4 linked regions of the Drosophila melanogaster genome follow. The protein of the gene in region 4 purifies or fractionates together with the protein of the main gene of each other region. This does not show direct contact. Each region holds a gene or a part of one and is shown on either strand. Other genes may lie near its edges.

The links.
Region 1: the proteins of p24-1 (region 4) and PPO2 purify together in Drosophila melanogaster (affinity purification with mass spectrometry, with the first as the bait; one large-scale study listed by BioGRID). This does not show direct contact.
Region 2: the proteins of p24-1 (region 4) and CG34205 purify together in Drosophila melanogaster (affinity purification with mass spectrometry, with the first as the bait; one large-scale study listed by BioGRID). This does not show direct contact.
Region 3: the proteins of p24-1 (region 4) and CG7203 purify together in Drosophila melanogaster (affinity purification with mass spectrometry, with the first as the bait; one large-scale study listed by BioGRID). This does not show direct contact.

What each region holds. Positions count from the first base shown.
Region 1 is NT_033778.4:9,041,761-9,047,339, reverse strand, and holds PPO2 (prophenoloxidase 2), read left to right. Parts: upstream 1-2,630; 5' UTR 2,631-2,719; coding exon 2,720-3,703; intron 3,704-3,758; coding exon 3,759-3,854; intron 3,855-3,912; coding exon 3,913-4,674; intron 4,675-4,730; coding exon 4,731-4,943; 3' UTR 4,944-5,079; downstream 5,080-5,579. Other genes in the region: CG13743 (uncharacterized protein), read left to right, coding at 592-834; Ance-4, read left to right, coding at 5,253-5,294, 5,529-5,579. UniProt on the Drosophila melanogaster protein: This is a copper-containing oxidase that functions in the formation of pigments such as melanins and other polyphenolic compounds.
Region 2 is NT_033778.4:22,129,186-22,133,297, reverse strand, and holds CG34205 (uncharacterized protein), read left to right. Parts: upstream 1-1,998; 5' UTR 1,999-2,087; coding exon 2,088-2,165; intron 2,166-2,330; coding exon 2,331-2,654; intron 2,655-2,717; coding exon 2,718-2,969; 3' UTR 2,970-3,184; downstream 3,185-4,112. Other genes in the region: NtR, read right to left, coding at 3,185-3,307, 3,368-3,534, 3,607-3,747, 3,813-4,112.
Region 3 is NT_033779.5:7,751,447-7,755,349, reverse strand, and holds CG7203 (uncharacterized protein), read left to right. Parts: upstream 1-2,163; 5' UTR 2,164-2,242; coding exon 2,243-2,248; intron 2,249-2,535; coding exon 2,536-2,919; 3' UTR 2,920-3,180; downstream 3,181-3,903.
Region 4 is NC_004354.4:11,849,880-11,854,568, reverse strand, and holds p24-1 (p24-related-1), read left to right. Parts: upstream 1-2,038; 5' UTR 2,039-2,148; intron 2,149-2,229; 5' UTR 2,230-2,306; coding exon 2,307-2,939; 3' UTR 2,940-3,660; downstream 3,661-4,689. Other genes in the region: CG10347 (uncharacterized protein), read left to right, coding at 1-1,168, 1,228-1,712.

The sequences.
Region 1 (5,579 bases), on a different chromosome or scaffold from region 4:
GCTTACTTGTGTTTTAGTTTAATCACAATCAGCAAGAGTTTACCCAAAACCTTTTTTAATGTACAAATTAATCATTTATGTTCCTAGTTTCCGAAAGAACACATTTCTTATCATTTATAATGCTCAGACCATTTATCATCGAGATAACTTCGACTAAGCAATTTGCAAACTTAAAGATTATTTATTACGGTTTTCGTTTGCATTTATTTCCGAGTGAATATTTGGCCTAGATGAAAGAGAATAAATTCCAATTCCCAAAGTCCATATATTCAAGTAGAAAGCTATGCAACAAAGAATCCACCAAATGCTTCATTAAATACATCTGAGACTAATTCCGATTTCACCATTCACATTTGCCAGACCAAAGGGAGAACCGTATGGCCAAGTTTATTATTATCGTCCGTAGCCATTTGCCCCTTGTATTCCAGTCACGGGTATTGGCCACAACGCCAATCCCAAACGGCATCTACAAATTCTGGCCGGAACCCGTCTTTGTATTTGCCATGCAAATTTATGCCCCACCCATCAGCCAGCCCATCAGAACATCAGCCCGTCAGCCCATCAGTACATTCAACAATCCACCCATTTCAGGGTCTCCTGGCGGCCATTCCCCTGGCCTACATCCTGCCCGGCCTGGCCTACATTCAGATGGAGCCGCACGCCCTGCTCAGCCGGGAGAAGCTGCCCGCTCTGGGCCTGGTGGTCTTCGGAGCCCTGGTGACCATCTTGGGGGCGGCGGTGCTCCTGCCGGGTCTAATGGGCGGCGACTGCCGATCGGACATTGTGATGGGTTACTGCCGGCAGGAGTTTCAGAACACCACCTCCTCGAACTAAGTTAACGGAACGGAAGTCAGCCCACGATGTGGGGCGCGCGGGTTGGGATCGCATTTTTATGGTTTGGGTTTTTGGGTTGAAACTTCTGATTTGACCTTCGGTTAATACAGCTGCACCACGTCGCATCGAAAGAAACTTGTACCTGAGTCCCAGACGTTCAAAGTATCTGCGTAAGTAAGTAGTAGGCACAGTGTTGAATTGGATTAGTGGATAGCGGATAGCGGATGTGTGATACGGGCGAACCTCAGTACAAAGGCCAGGCATTCTCTCCGATCGAGTAACCCATGTATATTTGCACCGGATAGTCGTTTAAAGTGTACATTTCGTTGGATCCCCGTTGTTGATGTCGATATTGTTGAAAGTAGTGAAAGTTCCTCGATATATAAGTGTGTGTGTACTCCGTACTCTGTACTTTGAAGCCATCAAGTTGAGCAAGCGATTTGAATTGAATTGAATCGAAAGAAACGAGCAAAGGCAAACTAAACCGAACTAGAACTAGATGTTATCCGTAGCTTTAGCGTAGTCTGAAACTATTTGGGCACCAATATACACATGCAATCCTTAGAGACAACCGACTCCCCAAGTTGAGAAGTGAATCAAAATCGAAAACGAAATCGAACAAGTATTATATGTATGTACCGAGAACTATTTGTAACTATGTATGCCCCGACGTTACCGGATCGTATTCCCCAGTTTTATATGTATGTATATGTATACAAGGGTAGATAAAAATGCGCTTGAACCGAACTAAAATCAAACTACAATATATCCCCATCAACACATCGATTTGAACAACAGTTTTGAGTTGTTAACGGCACTGAATTCTGTTTTGAATTGCATATGTACACCGAACACGATCGAATATTTATATATACAGAAACATAGATATATTTTTGTACAACTCTTGGTTTATACTGCACGATATTATGTAAATACATGTGTATGCATTTTTGGATGTGATTAAAGTCTTTACACTCACACAAAAGCCATCACCTCTTACTTTCTCTTCGGGCTGAGAGATCGGAACCAAGCTGAAGACCCCACAACTCTATATTCTAAGAGCTTAAACACTACATATCATGGCCAAGGAACACGGGACATGCCCAGGGCTTTTCTGAGATACATTTTACAAGATCTAAACAACTAACCAACTGAACCTATCGCTTTTACACAACGAATACGAGAACGGAAACGGAAACAGCAGCATACAATTTCCACAGACTTCCTGTATATACACGCTATATATATGTAGATCCGCTTGTCGTACGATATTGCTCATCTCTTCACTCGCCAAATATCTCGTTGTATCTCTCTTTTTAGCGCTATGCTAAATAAATATATGTATTGTATATCAAAGCAGTAGTAGGGAATTAGGGACGAATTGATCGATTATAGCCGAATTGTAATAACTATTATTGCCGTATTATGCATGTAGCTACATATATATACATACTATTATATTAAATTGTTTAGATGTGATGCTATCTGACCGGAGGATCGTGTGCGTAGAGAAGTTTTGATTTACAACGCAGGCATATCCCAGAGATAACAAAATCCGATTTCATTCCAATAGTATATATGTATAGATAAGCTAAAGCAAAACCAAATGAAATACTCTTGAAATAATAAAACTGCATTTTAGAAATATGCTAAAACAACACTGCGGTTTCCATACTATATCCTTATCGCCGCAATTTGTCGACAATTTCAATTCTCAGGCGTTCTTGTGGTTTTCAAAACCGATACTAGTGCCTTCGAAGTTTTGTATAAAATGTGCAGTTCTTTCGGTGAATAGTCACAGTCGTGAAGTTCCCAGACTTCCAGTCACATTCCCCATTTAGTTTGCTCCGCGATCCAGCAGGTCCTCCCTGACATCCCATTGAAAATGGCCGACAAGAAGAATCTCCTCCTGCTTTTCGACCATCCCACCGAGCCAGTGTTCATGGACAAGGGCAAGAGGGTGACCGTGTTCGATGTGCCCGACTCCTTCCTGACCGACCGCTACCGACCCATCAGCAACGAGGTGCAGAGCCGCGTCGGCGACAAGGTGGAGCAGCGCGTTCCAGTCCGGGAGATCTCCATTCCCGATCTGCGGATCCCCATGTCCCTGGGCCGGGACGAGCAGTTCTCGCTGTTCCTGCCCAAGCACCGCAGGATCGCCGGCCGCCTGATCGATATATTCATGAACATGCGCTCCGTGGACGACCTGCAGAGCGTGGCGGTGTACGCCAGGGATCGGGTCAACCCGGTGCTCTTCAACTACGCCTTGTCGGTGGCGCTGCTCCATCGTCCGGACACCCAGGGCCTGGATCTGCCATCCTTCTCGCAGACTTTCCCCGACCGCTTCATCGACTCGCAGGTGATCCGCAAGATGCGGGAGGAGTCTTTTGTGGTGCAGCCCGGTTCCCGGATGCCCATCACCATTCCCAGGGACTACACCGCCTCCGATCTGGATCCCGAGCACCGGCTGTGGTACTTCCGCGAGGATCTGGGCATCAACCTTCACCACTGGCATTGGCATCTGGTCTACCCCTTCGAGGCCTCCGACCGCAGCATAGTGGCCAAGGATCGTCGTGGCGAGCTCTTCTACTACATGCACCAGCAGGTGATCGCCCGCTACAATGCGGAGCGGTTCAGCAACAACCTGGCCAGGGTTCTGCCCTTCAACAACCTGAGGGATCCCATTGCCGAGGGCTACTTCCCCAAGATGGACTCTCTGGTAGCCAGCCGCGCGTGGCCACCGCGCTTCGAGAGCACCAGGTTGAGCGATCTCAACCGGGAGTCCGACCAGCTGAATGTGGAGATTGGAGATCTGGAGCGTTGGCGTGATCGCATCTACGAGGCCATTCACCAAGGATTTGTCATGGATGTGAGTTGTTGGTGGGTTTTCCATTAACTAAATAACATGCCATATTCCCTTTCAGGAGCGTGGCAACCGGGTGCCATTGGATGAGGCGACGGGCATTGATACCCTCGGCAACATGATTGAATCATCCATTCTGTCGCCCAACCGAGTGCTGGTAATAAGTCCTTACCCTTAGTAAATTATTCTAGGGATTAATCCTATTGCTCCCCTAGTATGGTGACCTGCACAACAACGGACACACCTTCATCTCGTACGCCCACGATCCGACCAGCAAGCACCTGGAGTCCTTTGGCGTGATGGGTGATGTGTCCACGGCCATGCGCGACCCGGTCTTCTACAAGTGGCACTCGTACATCGACCGCATCTTCCAGGAGCACAAGTCGCGCCTGCCCGCCTATACCGAGAACCAACTAAACTACCCGGGCGTCTCGATCGCGGGCATCCAGGTGGACACCAATGGAGGTCGTCCCAATAATCTGACCACCTTCTGGCAGCAGTCGGACGTGGACATGTCCCGTGGCTTCGACTTCCTGCCGCGAGGTAATGTCTTCGCCAGGTTCACCCACCTGCAGCATCTGCCCTTCACCTATACCATCAGTTTGAACAACGATAGTGGTGCCCAGCGTTTCGGCTACGTGCGCATCTTCATGGCGCCGAAGAACGACGAGCGTGGCCAGCCCATGCTGATGCGAGATCAGCGCTCCATGATGATCGAGCTGGACAAGTTCGTGACTTCGCTGAACCCGGGACCCAACACCATCCGCCGCCGCTCCACGGAGTCGAGCGTGACCATTCCGTTCGAGCGCACCTTCCGCAACCTGGATGCCAATCGTCCGGCGGCCGGCACTCCGGAGGAGCTGGAGTTCAACTTCTGCGGCTGCGGCTGGCCCAACCACATGCTGGTGCCAAAGGGTCTGCCCGAGGGACTGCAGTGCGTGCTGTTCATCATGGTGTCGAACTATGAGAACGACAGGGTATGTTAGCTGGCTAGTAAATCAAGGATATTTTTGACAATTATCTCCACCTCCAGATTGACCAGCAATTGGTGGGTCGGTGCAGCGATGCCGCTTCCTACTGTGGCGTCCGTGACCGTCTTTACCCGGATCGCCAGTCCATGGGATTCCCCTTCGACAGGTTGCCCCGCAGCGGAGTCGACCGCCTGGTTAACTTCCTCACGCCCAACATGAGCATCGTGGACGTGAACATCCGCCACGAGAACCGCACCGTGCAGCGCCCAAACTAGACGATCCGCACCTGATTCGCTTTCCCGATTCGCCCTGACCCGATTCCATGACCTCGCCCACTTCTAGATATACAACTCTTAGCAATCTATTGCATCTTTATTGAGCCGCTTAATAAACAAGACATCATGGCATTCCACAATCCCACTTTTGTTCTCAATTATTGTGGCTCGGCCTCCGGGCGAGAATCTCTCGCTGATTAGGCTTATCAGCCGCCCGGGAGAAGCTTTAAATGCCAGCTCCACGGCCGGAGCACCTCAGTTCGAGCAGATCCGGTGTTGAGTGCGAAAGTGAAACCGATTCCCGAGGAGATGGGCCTGCTGCTGCTTCTGGTGCTGATAGCGGGCATTGGCGTAAGCACTGTACCGATTAAATAATCTATGGGTCCACAAAGATCCCACAAAAAGATGTGGTCTTTAGATAACTTTAAATCATAATTTTGCGTGTTTGAAATATGTTTCATTTAGATGCGTGTCAGTTTCTATATAGTTTGAGGATACTTAGAAGACCTAGACTAAACTAAGCCTGTAATAGCAATAATATTGTAAGTGAATTTGCTGCTTTTAATTGATTGTCATTTATTTTAGTGCGCAACTGCAGCAGCCAACATTGACCTGGAGGCCAAGACGTTTGTGAAT
Region 2 (4,112 bases), on a different chromosome or scaffold from region 4:
CTGGTTGATTTCGTCGTTTGTTTTTGATTTAATTAAGCGGCGCTTTTCCATTTTGCAATGTTTTTCTTGGCCGTTCCGCGAAGCATTTGCAAGTCAAATGCAGCGGCGTTAATTAATTGAATGGATCGAAAAATAACGCATACGCAGCGTGCGCCGCGAAGAATTCTGCGCTTGCGATCCATTGGGCAATCGCTTTGAATTCTCTCATCCATTCTGTGGCCAGTGGCTAATTAGGCCCGTCATCCAAAATTCGCGGCATTTTGCACCCATTTTGGAGCACACGCCGCCCGATCGCCAAATCCAAATGCGGCTAAAGACTCGCCTCTCGATCGAAGCCATAAAAACCAAGACGAGGATCGATCGGCTGATCGCCTTAAATCGTCATTTAGTATGTGGCAATTTGGCATTCGAGTTTGCCACCCTTCTGATCCACCGACCGATTGCTGGAAAATTGCTTTCCACCTGGCCAAAATGTGGGGCAGTGGCTGGGAAATCTTTTATTTATGAGGACCGGCGACACACCGACCACAACACACAACACCGATCTGTCCGCATCTGTCCGGATCGAATTGGACATGGAACACTTGTTTGGCAGTCGCCGACCACTGGCAACAATTGCTCCTATTGACTTAATATTTGCTAATAGAATTCACATAAATCACATTCCACTGGCATGCATGATTTATGCATGAACTGCGATCGCAGGTGACTCTCTGTCTCTTTTGCGGCGTTTCGTGCTGTCCTTTTCTCATTGTGCTAAGTTTTTTTTCGAGTTTTTTTTACGAGATTTCGGCGTTGAAGTGGTGTTTTCGAGACCTCTTGAGAGGAACTCCACTGAAGTGCTGCAAGTTGCATGCGCTAATCTGAGACATTATGTGCTTTCCAAACTTTAGTTTCTTAACCCTAATATATAAAGCAAGTATTTAAACACGGACTACCTTATTGTCTCAAAAAGTTATGTAAAGTCCACAAAAATATAAATCATTTAAGAAATGAATATATACACCATATCTATACTTAAAGCGAATAAGTGATATAATGATTACTTGAGACACTATTAATCCGTGATAAGGATCACGACGAGCATTCTCAACAATTTGTAGCATTATTAATTTTGTGATGACCCAATGTCACACCTCCGTACCCCCGCACATCCCGTGGGGTTAATCAAGTCGGCCATAAAAAATCCCACGAACTGCCAGATGCTGAACCGGCAATTTCAGCCGGCAAAGTCGATGGATCGATGGCGAGTTGAAGCTGGAGCTGGAGCTGGCGAACTGGGGCCTCCACTCGATCCAAACCCCCTCGCCACGCACGAGTGTCCTCGAGACGAGACGGCGTGGCTGCGGCTGAAATCACCCATCCAATATGGTCAAATGTGGCACGCAGCGGCATTCGAGGCACGATAAAGATAAATATGAAGCTCGCCTAGATATTTCGGCCAGAGGGGATTGCTGCTTGGTGTTTGGTTTTGGCGTTTGCCGATTTGGCAAGCGTTCATTATGCAATTTGGAGAGAATTTCCCAGCGCCACGCCGAGAATTGTTTCGAGAATACTCAAACATAGCAACGAAAACAATTAGACGGCATTCTACGTTGGCTAATTAAGTTGTTAGTGGCAAGGCTGCGTGCTTTCGAGGGGCGTGTCACCTGGCGCGTTGCCCAAATTGGCCAGCTAATCAGCGATTTCAATTAGCGTGCGCTTTCCAAATGCGAGCCACAATGGCACCCCCAGTGTAAAGACCGCCTTTCCTGCGGCGACTCCTTAGCCGGCAAGTGGTCTGCCTTCGGTTCGGAGCTCCCAACTCCCAGCTCCAGTTCAGGTTGCGTCATCCGCGTTTGGGGGCTCTCCAATCCGAGCTGCGTCTACGAGAATTGCAGTTTCACTGCAGCCGAGATACTTCACAAATTGGTGCTGCTTGGCCCGCTTTGTTGACTGCTGTCTGCTGACTGTTTGTCCGTCCGAGGCTCAGATCGAAATCTAGTCAAGATCTGTCCGCTCGACCACCTGTCCTCCGGTCCGCAGTTCGCAGTCCGCTCGAGAGTGCGAGTGCGTGGTCTGCCGTCGAGGGGTATAAAAGTAACGCAATGCACACGTCCACTTACAGTTGCAATTCTCCCTCCAAGCCAAGTGATTCGTTATCCAGCGCTAGCATGAAACTTCTGGTGAGTGGAAAGGGTTGGAAAGGATGCGGCCTAGGATCAGTATTATCACTTTAAGCCAATAATACTGACTGCAAAGGATATCTTCATACAAGGATTACCTCGATCTTATATTCACTAGATCAAAAAGATTAACATCAAAGTTTGGTTTTCCATTTACCTCGCCAGATCCTTACCTCTCTGCTGGCTGTGGCCACTGCTGCTCCTGGACTCCTTGATTATGGACACTCGGCTCCGGACTACAGCTACGCCCATGCCGCTCCTGCCATAACATATGCAGCTGCAGCTCCAGTCATCAAGTCCTACGCTGCCCCAGCCATCACCTATGCGGCTCCAGCTCCGGTGATCAAGTCCTATGCCGCTCCAGCCATCAGCTACGCCCATGCCGCTCCTGCCATCAGCTACGCCGCTCCCACGGTGGTCAAGTCCTATGCTGCTCCTGTGGCGGTCAAGGTGGCAGCTCCAGCCACCAGCTACTCGCACTTCAGCTCGGTAAGATCTGGATATACTCTGATATTTTCCCATTTAATCTTACAATCTACTTTGCATGCACAGGTTGTTTCCCATGCCACGCCCATTGTTAAGTCGTACGCTGCGCCTGCCATCGCCTATGCTGCTCCAGCTCCGGTGATCAAGTCCTATGCCGCTCCAGCCATCAGTTACGCCCATGCCGCTCCAGCCATCAGCTACGCTGCTCCCACGGTGGTCAAGTCATATGCGGCTCCAGCCATCAGCTACGCAGCTCCTGCCCTGGTTAAGTCATACGCTGCACCTGCCCTGTCCCTGGGTGGATACGGTTACCACTAAGCTCCGATACCAAAACACTCCAAATCCAAATCGATCCCGGATCGGAGTTGGAACAATGGCAGCAATTAACTGCGAGGAGTCGCAACAGCCCAGCACGCTCTCCCACTTTTTCAACTTGTAGTCGCAAAATCTTCACAATCTTCTCTGTTTACTTCTTATTTATTTAAGAACCATTAATATTCTCTCAAATGCACAATAAAGAAAAATTCTGTTTTTCAAAACCCACTCGTAATATCTACGATGGCAAAGGTTATAATGACCAAGATTGAACTCAGGTTGTTCAGGATCTTGGCCATATGGTGCCAGGGATTCTCCTGAATGTCGCAATAGTCGGTAGACTGTAGGAATATAGTGAATTGCAATACGTATATGTGTTCAATAGGGGCTTAACTACTCACATCCGAAAATCTCAATCCCAGAATGCATCGCAGAACATTGGAGTTAATCACCCTAACCAGCCAGCCAGGAGCCTTCGATCTGGGTGGATATAGATCCAGCCATATAATGCAGATGTGCAGAATGTAGCAATAGGTGGTGGTCATCATGATGACTTTATATGCAGTCACTGTAGGAAAAGTGAAAATTTGAATTTGAAAATTATACACAGTGAGTTTTAGTTAATTGATTTAAAACTTACTCATGGGCGGCACATAATGCGGAGAGGCGTAGCGCGTCATGTACATTAAACCCCAGGCGGCAATCAGCAAGGCGATGAGAATGAGGGAACTCCTACGAGTAGAACGCAGTACAAAGGACAAAATCAGGAACATCTGGCAGGCTGAAAGAATATATTGTAGTTATATGTTATTCCATAACAAGAAATCAAACACATTTTCATATTACCAATCAACGGCAAATAGAAGACGGTCATGTAGAAGCTCCGATTCCTTTGCAGCGTGAACTCAATTGCCACATCGCCGGTCATTTTCTGCATCATTCCCTTGGGGTTGTATCGCCTTTGCGAATCGTTCTCCACCAGCACCACGGACATTTGCGTGAACGACCAGCCGGATGGCGTGTTCACGTGCTCATTGGGCGCAATCGGCTTGCGCTGATCATCGTAGATTAGCGCCACATTCTCCTGCCCCTCCTGGCCATTGAGACCCAGCTCGATGTCGCAAGTCACTCGCTCGCTTGGCCAGT
Region 3 (3,903 bases), on a different chromosome or scaffold from region 4:
CAGTGAGAATAACCAAGTCAATTTCCCGTTTCCATCACTCCTGTTCCCCAATTACTTGCCAAAGTTTCGCCGACAGCTGATGGCTGCACTTTCTCCCCTTCGCGCCTCTGGGTGTTCATTTGCATTCGAGAAGTTGGAGCCATCTATCAAAGACTTCGTTAGCATCGCGTGACTGAATGTTGTCCGGAAATTAGAACCACCCACTCAAGCCGAAGAAGATTTTTTTTTGACAAGTTTGGGCAGCAGGATTAGTTTATGGATTAGTGATAAATAATCTTATCAGACGATGTGATGCAATTGAGTGCGAATATTTCCCCATCGCACATTTAATTGGCATGGAAATATTTCTGGGTGTGGCAGGCCAATACTTTATGTGTAAGTCTGACAATTTGATGGATGCAATAAAATATTATGGCTGCGGCTGTGGCAAAGAATCTTAATTGAATGGCAGCGCGCTGCATTGGAGCCAATCGGTGTCAGAGTCACCGAACCAACCAATTGGCCAACTCGAGTGCACAGGAGAAAAGCAGCTAATTTTGGAAAGGAGTTTTGTGTTGTTAAGGTATAAATTTGTATTTCAAGATTAAATTCAAAAGATTTTTTTTGATTCCGAATCCTATTCACTTGATGCAAAATCCTTTTTTGATTTACCTACAATTACTAAGTATTCCTCTCAGTGTAGCCATAAACAGCACGAAAAGCACTTGACGGCAATGAATTCTGACACACGTGTGCCAACCACTCAAACTTCCCCACCGCCCACCTGGCTGGTGGTTCGACCCTCAATGTTCTCTACTCACGCAACAATGACATCGGGATCCTCCCACCACTTCTTGTTGGAAGGCTGCAGCAGCAGGCTGACCTGTCGCCAGTGGTTCTTGTGCACCACCTTTGGATGAACATAAAAGTTGGAGATTAATGCTCATTTTATGGACTGTATTCCGGCAGTGGTTACCTTATACTTTTTGGGATCGTATGCATTGTGATCTTTCTCCGTAAACACCAGGCGTGCCATTTTAAAGCCTCCGAATCCTTTCTAGAACCAAGCCTGATTCTGCTTCTCAGTGGGAGTTCTTTACATCAAGTATAGTACTCGAAAATATAAAGTATGCTTGCTTGAAACGGAATTAGTTATTTGTGTATACTGACTGAAGATTTTGCTTTGACAAAAGCTTTAATTGACTGTTAAATGAAAGATATAGTGTTGTTAAATTTTTAATTTCACAAAAATTTACCCTAAAATGTACAGCTCTTACTTAGAAAAAATTAAACGTATGACAATCTCTACTGATATTCAAATGTTTTGTAATTTATTACGTAGAATTGCTTTCCGACTTAAAAGCGAAAGTGGTTTGATTTACTTATCGTTTCTTAATGGAATCAATAAATATGTTCTATATATACAATTACGGATTACTCTACAAAAGGGGGTATAACTTAACATATATTAAATTATAAACCATTATTTTATATTTAAATACCAAATAAAATTTACAAAATTTAATTTTCATATTTTAAGGATTGGTAATATTTGTAGTGAAATCGTTTCCTACATATGGACTCTGATTTTTATATGGTATTCCTGGACATATGTTGGCGTTGACTGCATTAGTGATATGCAAATGCAATCGAGAAATCTATAGTCGGTGACCAAAATGGATCAGTTTGCCGACAACTGGCGGCCGGCACATTAATTTCAGGGCGAGCTAACCGAAGTGAATTTAATTACATTCTGCTGATGAAATTTAAATGGACAGCCAGTGGTGCTGAATGTGTGTGGGGCGATGGTGGTACAGAGGCACAGTGGTGCTGCGGTGGCTTGTAATTTGCCTATCCATTGTTGTTAGGGGCACCCGAGACATGGCTTTAGTGTATATCATATACAGATATTGAAGTCATGGTTATGGATTGGCCGAATCAAATGAGACCAGTCTTGTTTTCGTCATGTCAACCGGTGTGGCTAATTGTCGCGCACTTGAATTGTCGTCAATGAATTGTGGTTATTGATTCGGGAAGGTCAAGGGGTTCGGGTTGGGGTTGGGGTTGGGACTGAAGGTATTACGTGGTTTGTTCTCTGGCCCGGTTTCCGCATTTGTGCAGCAAACATACACATGGCTGATCAATCCGAGAACTGGCCTTATATGCTAAATGAAATTATGGATCGGAGCTATAAAAGCACTTGGCCAACGGGCAGATGTCAGTTAGTTTCGTTTCAAGCGTCACTGAGATCACAAAAGCCAACATGAAGGTGAGATTGAAGGGATATCGGATAACTGGAGCTTAGTTACAGCTAGTGTTATGTAAAAGGACAACATGAAGGGATTTATGTTGTTTTTAGTAAAACATTTCTATACAAATTGGTATGCTGCAAAAGTAGACATAAAAGATCTTTATCGAGTTATACATAAATTAATATCAGATCGCTGAACACATTACGACCCCATTCAGAGAAACTCCAAAATTAAAAAAACTTCAAATAAGTTATTTTTATCATAGTTCCTGAGTTTCCATCTAAATCAAGATTCTTATTTTCAGTTCGCCGTTGTCGTAGTCCTGTTCGCTTTGGCCTGGGGTGTCAACAGCTCGGTGGTGCCTCTCCTGACCTCCGCCCATGGTCTGGTGGTCGGTTCTCCCGCCGTCGCCGGTTCGGTGGCCATCCAGGCATCTGCGGTTCCCGCTGCCGTTCCCCTGTCCCTGTCCCCAGCCGGACCCGTGCTCATCCAGTCTGGACCAGCGGTGGTTGCCGCTCCCGTTCCCGCCGCTGTGGTTGCTGCCCACGCCCCCGCCGTGGTGGCCGTCGCCGCTCCGGAGGCCAGCTATGTGGCCAAGACCCGTGGAGCTGTCCATGTGGCTCCTCTGCCAGGACATGTGCAGTCCGCTGCTTCCGTGAACTTGGAACCCGCACCAGGCACCTGGTAATCACCTGAAATGACTTCTGGATTACCCCTACATTGATCCTGACCGCCACTTGCTCGCATCTTTACCACATTTTTTGGTTTTTTAAGTTACCGAAAGGTCTGTCCTCTGCTGAGATCCCGTTGGGTTCTCATTTCTTCAGCAATCTAAGTCAATCCTATCCAGTCTATCGCTTTCCGCTTTACTCTCTGGTCTATATTTATCCACCCCGCTGTTGTCACATGGAAATTTGTTTCTTTTTGAATAAAAAAATGTTATTAAAACAGTTGAAAGGCGTTTTAGTTACGGTTGCTAGCGCTTAAGTAACTATTTATATGCCATTAGCAGATGTATCTAGATCGTGGTCCCAGAATATTTATTTCAAATAATTTTTACGCAATTACCAGGGGATCGACTCACCTTTTTTAACGGCAATTAGAAGCCACACCCTTAGCCCAACTCCCACGCCTTCAAGTGCAGCAAACATTGGACAGCTAAATGGCTTAAAACAATCTCGATCGATGGCCGATTACCGATGCCAGTAATTAATCAATTCCGGGGCCTCAGACCGGCGCTACAGCAGGGGCGTTGACAAAAAGCCGCTCCAGAAATGAGACGCAGTTGCTCGGCAGCTGGACAACTTTGTTGCCAACTCATAGTACAAACTGCCGTCGAACCGAACTGGTCTTTGAACTGAAAACGAGAGTACTACTCGATCTGGAGCAGGGGCGGTTTGCCTTGATCGCCGCACACTCGCACTTGCAATTATTAATAGAAAAATGTGCACAAACTTGATATGGCCGCGATGAAGTTAAGTAATGCCCATGCAAAGTAATGCGGTTCAGATCAAATCCGCCTTAACGCCCACTGCAGACCCCTGAAACCCGTTAGGCGATGATCCCGATTCCGATGGGATATATAGGACTATATGCTGTTATATCTAGTGAAATATATGAATAGTAAATTGCAATTTATATTAAATATTAATAATTTCAGTATGCCAAAAAT
Region 4 (4,689 bases):
CGCCAGGAACTTGGATGTGATGCCTACGTGCTGGATCCGAGCAGCAATCAGTTCTCGCTGCTGCACACGGAGCTCTTTGCCCGACACAATCACCTGGTAGCCGATCCATGGATGCGCCACTGCAGCTACTTCTTTAACAAGCGCCACCAGCTGGTGCAGTGCAACTACGATCTACAGACTGGACGCGCACGTGCCCAGCGCGTTGTCCTCACGGTGGACTATAGGGATCAGGGCGATGGGGAACTACATCGGTCGGGTGACTACAACTACACCATAGTTTTCGTTTCGGAACGATTCTGTGTGATCTGCGACGGTATAACCAGTTACCATCTGGTGGACACCGGCGACAGAACGCGCACCGATGTGCAGGAGTGGCAACGGATTACACGCTCGCCGGTGAATAATAACAGTGGTCATCGCGGCTTTGCACTCTTCGATGCCCGGCTGGATGTGCTGCAGGAACGTAAGCAGATCTCGCTGGTGGCCGGTCATGTGGCACGCCGTGATGCAGTTGGCCAAGATCAGACGCACGTCTATTACATGGACTTGACCTGGGCACGGTGGACTCATTCGCCCACCAATGACGAGTGGTCATATAATATCTGTCAACGGCTGGAGACCACTGGCTCTGTGCACTACTGCGCCTTTGAGCCTCGCGCCGAGTCCCTAGTCATTGCCAGCAACCGCGATGTTCAGACTCCCGAGGAGCGTCGGGCAGCCGATGAAGCAGCCGCTGCCCGCTTGAATTCCTCAGGTGATCACGATGGCCAGCTGGAAAATGGAGGTCCACCTAGTTATAGCTGGTCCCAAACGGATAATAATGTGCTCATTCGTTTCAATGTTCCTTCAACTGCATCCGCTAAAGAGTTTAACGTGAGCGGTTCTAAAACCACTGTCGTTGTAAAGCATCTGGATGAGGTTATATTCGACGAAGAGTTATACGCCAGTGTGGGAGATGATTTAAGTGCATTTAAGTTGGCTGAGAATGGCCTAGAATTGTCACTAACCAAGGCGGAGATTCAGAACTGGCCACGTTTGTTCGCGCAGAAGAAAGATGACGTAGCGGAGGAAGTACATCCAATGGAAGCTCCACCACTGCCCATTCCAAGTCTGCAGGATCCCGTTGAAGAATGTGACTTAATATCCGCTGATGAAGAAATGAAGATGGGTAAGCATTCTATTATACATCTGCTGCATATGCTTAATAAATACATTTTCTTCTTTTAGTACGCTTCAATTTGACCAGCGGGTGCATCACCCACACTATTTTTCTTGGTCCCCCGCCACTGGTGCTCACCACCACGCTGCGTCCTGGCTTTCCAGCCGCCTTTGCTACCCGCCAGGGCGTCGACGCCTCCATATGGCTACAGATGTACCAGCCCAGTCGTCCAGATGAATGGAGTGTCCGCCACGAGGGCCAGCTGCACGCCTTCGGCTACGTGCAGGCCTCCAAGGTTGTGCGGAAATTCACCGTCTGCAGTCCGGATCTGGATTACGTAGCCATATGTGACCCTGTACGCTACGTTCTCGTCTACTTTCCGGCTAATAATTCGGCTGATGGTCTCCGCAGGCGAAACGGACCTCCCGTCACCTTGGGTAAACAAAAGCTCATCACCTTGGGCAACGAGATTGACGAGATTCTGGGCATAACCACGGCAAACAATCTGATCACCGTTCTCTCCAAGAAAGAACTGATACACCTGCAGGTGTAGACGGTGTTCCGCTTTTCTTTTTTTCTCCATTTACTCTTAAAGAATTATGGCTTTACAATTCAAATTCTGAAATGTACATTTTTAAAAAATTAGTACTTTTAAAATTTATAATATAAATATATAAAAAAAATATATATATGTAAATTTTTAATCATATATGTATACAACTATGTTTATTGTTAAAGTTTATTTTTAAGTGCTTAACAATTTTTGATAATGGCGCCAAAGAAAAAAAAAGAGTGGCAACTCTGCTGCTCAGTAGCCGATAGCATATACGTGGGTCCGCAGTGCTGCACAGCGAGTGGCGGAAAAGAGTGTTGACACGTCAGAACCCCAGACCTATCGTGCGGCGAATAACACAAAACGCCGAATGCTGGCGATATCGATAGCATATCACAAATAACAAAAACACGTCACGTAATCCGGACGGAGGCTGGTAAGTAAATGGAATTGGAATGACAGGTGGCATAGCATTTGGCCGGAATCTTGGCACTGACCGAGCGCATTTCTTTTGCAGCTGGAAGAATAACAGGCGGTGAAGCAGGGAATCATACGAATCCAGCAGGGAATACCAAAAAGCAAAAAGGGCGAACCATGAACACACAAATCGTTGTATTTGCGGTAGCTCTGATGATGCACTGCATCTCTGCCGTCGAATTCACCTTCGATCTGGCCGATAACGCGGTGGATTGCTTCTACGAGGAGATCAAGAAGAACTCGAGCGCCTACTTTGAGTTCCAGGTGTCGGCCGGTGGCCAATTGGACGTGGACGTCACCCTGAAGGATCCGCAGGGCAAGGTCATCTACAGTCTGGAGAAGGCCACCTTCGATAGTCATCAGTTCGTTGCCGAGACAACGGGCGTGTATACCGCTTGCTTTGGCAATCAATTCTCGGCCTTCTCGCACAAGATCGTCTACGTGGACTTCCAAGTGGGCGAGGAGCCGGCTCTGCCCGGTGTGGATGAACATGCCACGGTGCTCACACAGATGGAGACATCGTCGCAGGCGATTCACAAGGGCCTCAACGACATCCTGGACGCCCAGACGCATCATCGACTGAGGGAGGCGCAAGGTCGCAAGCGGGCCGAAGATCTCAATCAGCGGGTTATGGTCTGGTCATCCCTGGAGACGGCCGCAGTCATCGTGATCGGTCTCGTCCAGATTATGGTGCTGAGGAACTTCTTTACGGACCGAAAGCCCAGCCAGGCACACTACGGGCGGCTGTAGAGGATCAGGTTTCATTTTGGGATCTAGCTTAGTTCAGAGCCCTCGGATGGAGAGGGTCTCCTCCAATACCCAACTGTCCAAATCCCCCGAAATGTTGTCAATCTCGTCTTAGCCACAACGTATTCATTACCCCCCCCCCCCCTCAAGGGCGTTTCTTTTTCGGGCAAAAAAAACTCCCTAAACGACACATGTAATATTTTTTGTTAAGACCCCTCCCGGTAAAATACATAAAAAGGCCAGAAAATACATTAAAAAAAAACCAGAACTCGATAGCTAAAGGTACTCACAAAGCGTTTCAATAGAAGGGCGTCAATGGGGCATGAATCTCGACCAGAACCAAGGAAATCGAACAACGAATCGAAAACCCCTTTTGACTAGAGCAATATTTCGAGCAGTAAAAGATTCAAGCACTATGGAAATGTATCTTAATTTCAATCTGGACACCAAATCAACTGAAGTTTCATAAGGCAAATCAACATATTCCATTTCAGATGGCGTGGCCGCTATTATACTACATATATATAGCTAAGATCTGTACGTATATATCTTCCAAAATTCAGCTGAGTCAATAGAAAAGAATGTTAGATTAAGTTTCAGTTTCTATAAAGGAAGTTAATATACAGATATGACATCAAATTGAATGGATACAAATTAAAGGAACCACGAATATGATAACTTATAACACGTACCCATCAAGTGGAATAAAAGGGATATCCTTATCAAAAAAAAAAAAAAATTATCATTGATTTTAATTAATGCATTAATCTTGTTCGTGCTATCAATCTTATCAGCATAATAATTATTCGTGGAACATGGTCAACTTTTGAGATACATTTGGGCTTGCAAACTGATAAGAGGATATCACTGTTGTCTGGGTCTTCGCACCTAGTTATATCAAAATGGTATTGATATTATGAAATCCGTACGGATTCGGGGGTTACTAAACGACAATTATGCAAACGAAATTATTGCCACCGCCGCGTTGATGCCACATGGAAATGTAATAAATCTTTTTAACTGCTTTGTGTACGGGCTGTCATCTTTTGTTCGTTGATCTTCATTGGCTGACTTTTGGAATTTCGCAGATCTTTTGTCCATCGCATATATGGCATTGCCAAATAAATATACATATATGACCAGATATCAAATGCGATAAATGGTATGCAAATAGCGCCGTTTGTCTGCCGGCCAATTAATAGTATTTAAATCAGTCCAAGACAATGACAGTTGACACATCGTTGGTAGTAAATTGTTTATTGCCCCATTCGGGCAAAAAGTGCTAAAGCCAAGCAAATTTATATTGTGTATTTGTTAAATGCAGTATCAATGATAAATTCACACACATACAGGGTATGTCCTTTTGTTATCATTTTATCAAAGTGAAGTGTTCAATATTCGAAATATATCCCATTATTAATAGGATTATTCCATACATTTTCTTTCTTAATCGCTGTAGAATAAGCAAGACATTGAAATTTCTTCGTTGTTTTTGGTTTTTTCCACATTAATTAATTACCTGGCTGGCCCTAAACGATATTGGCCCAAACGGAATTCGCGACTTGGCAACAACAGATGGCCGGCAGCAGCTTAAGGCCAAAGTGAAAGGCAAAACCAATGCGAAGGACTTTTGTAAATGAATTGTCAGCGGATCGATCGATTGATCGGCCCCCTCACCAAATGGGGTTAATCACACATGTGGTGCCAATTACCCAGTTATAATGATAGTAATAATTCGCGTAATGGTGGCACG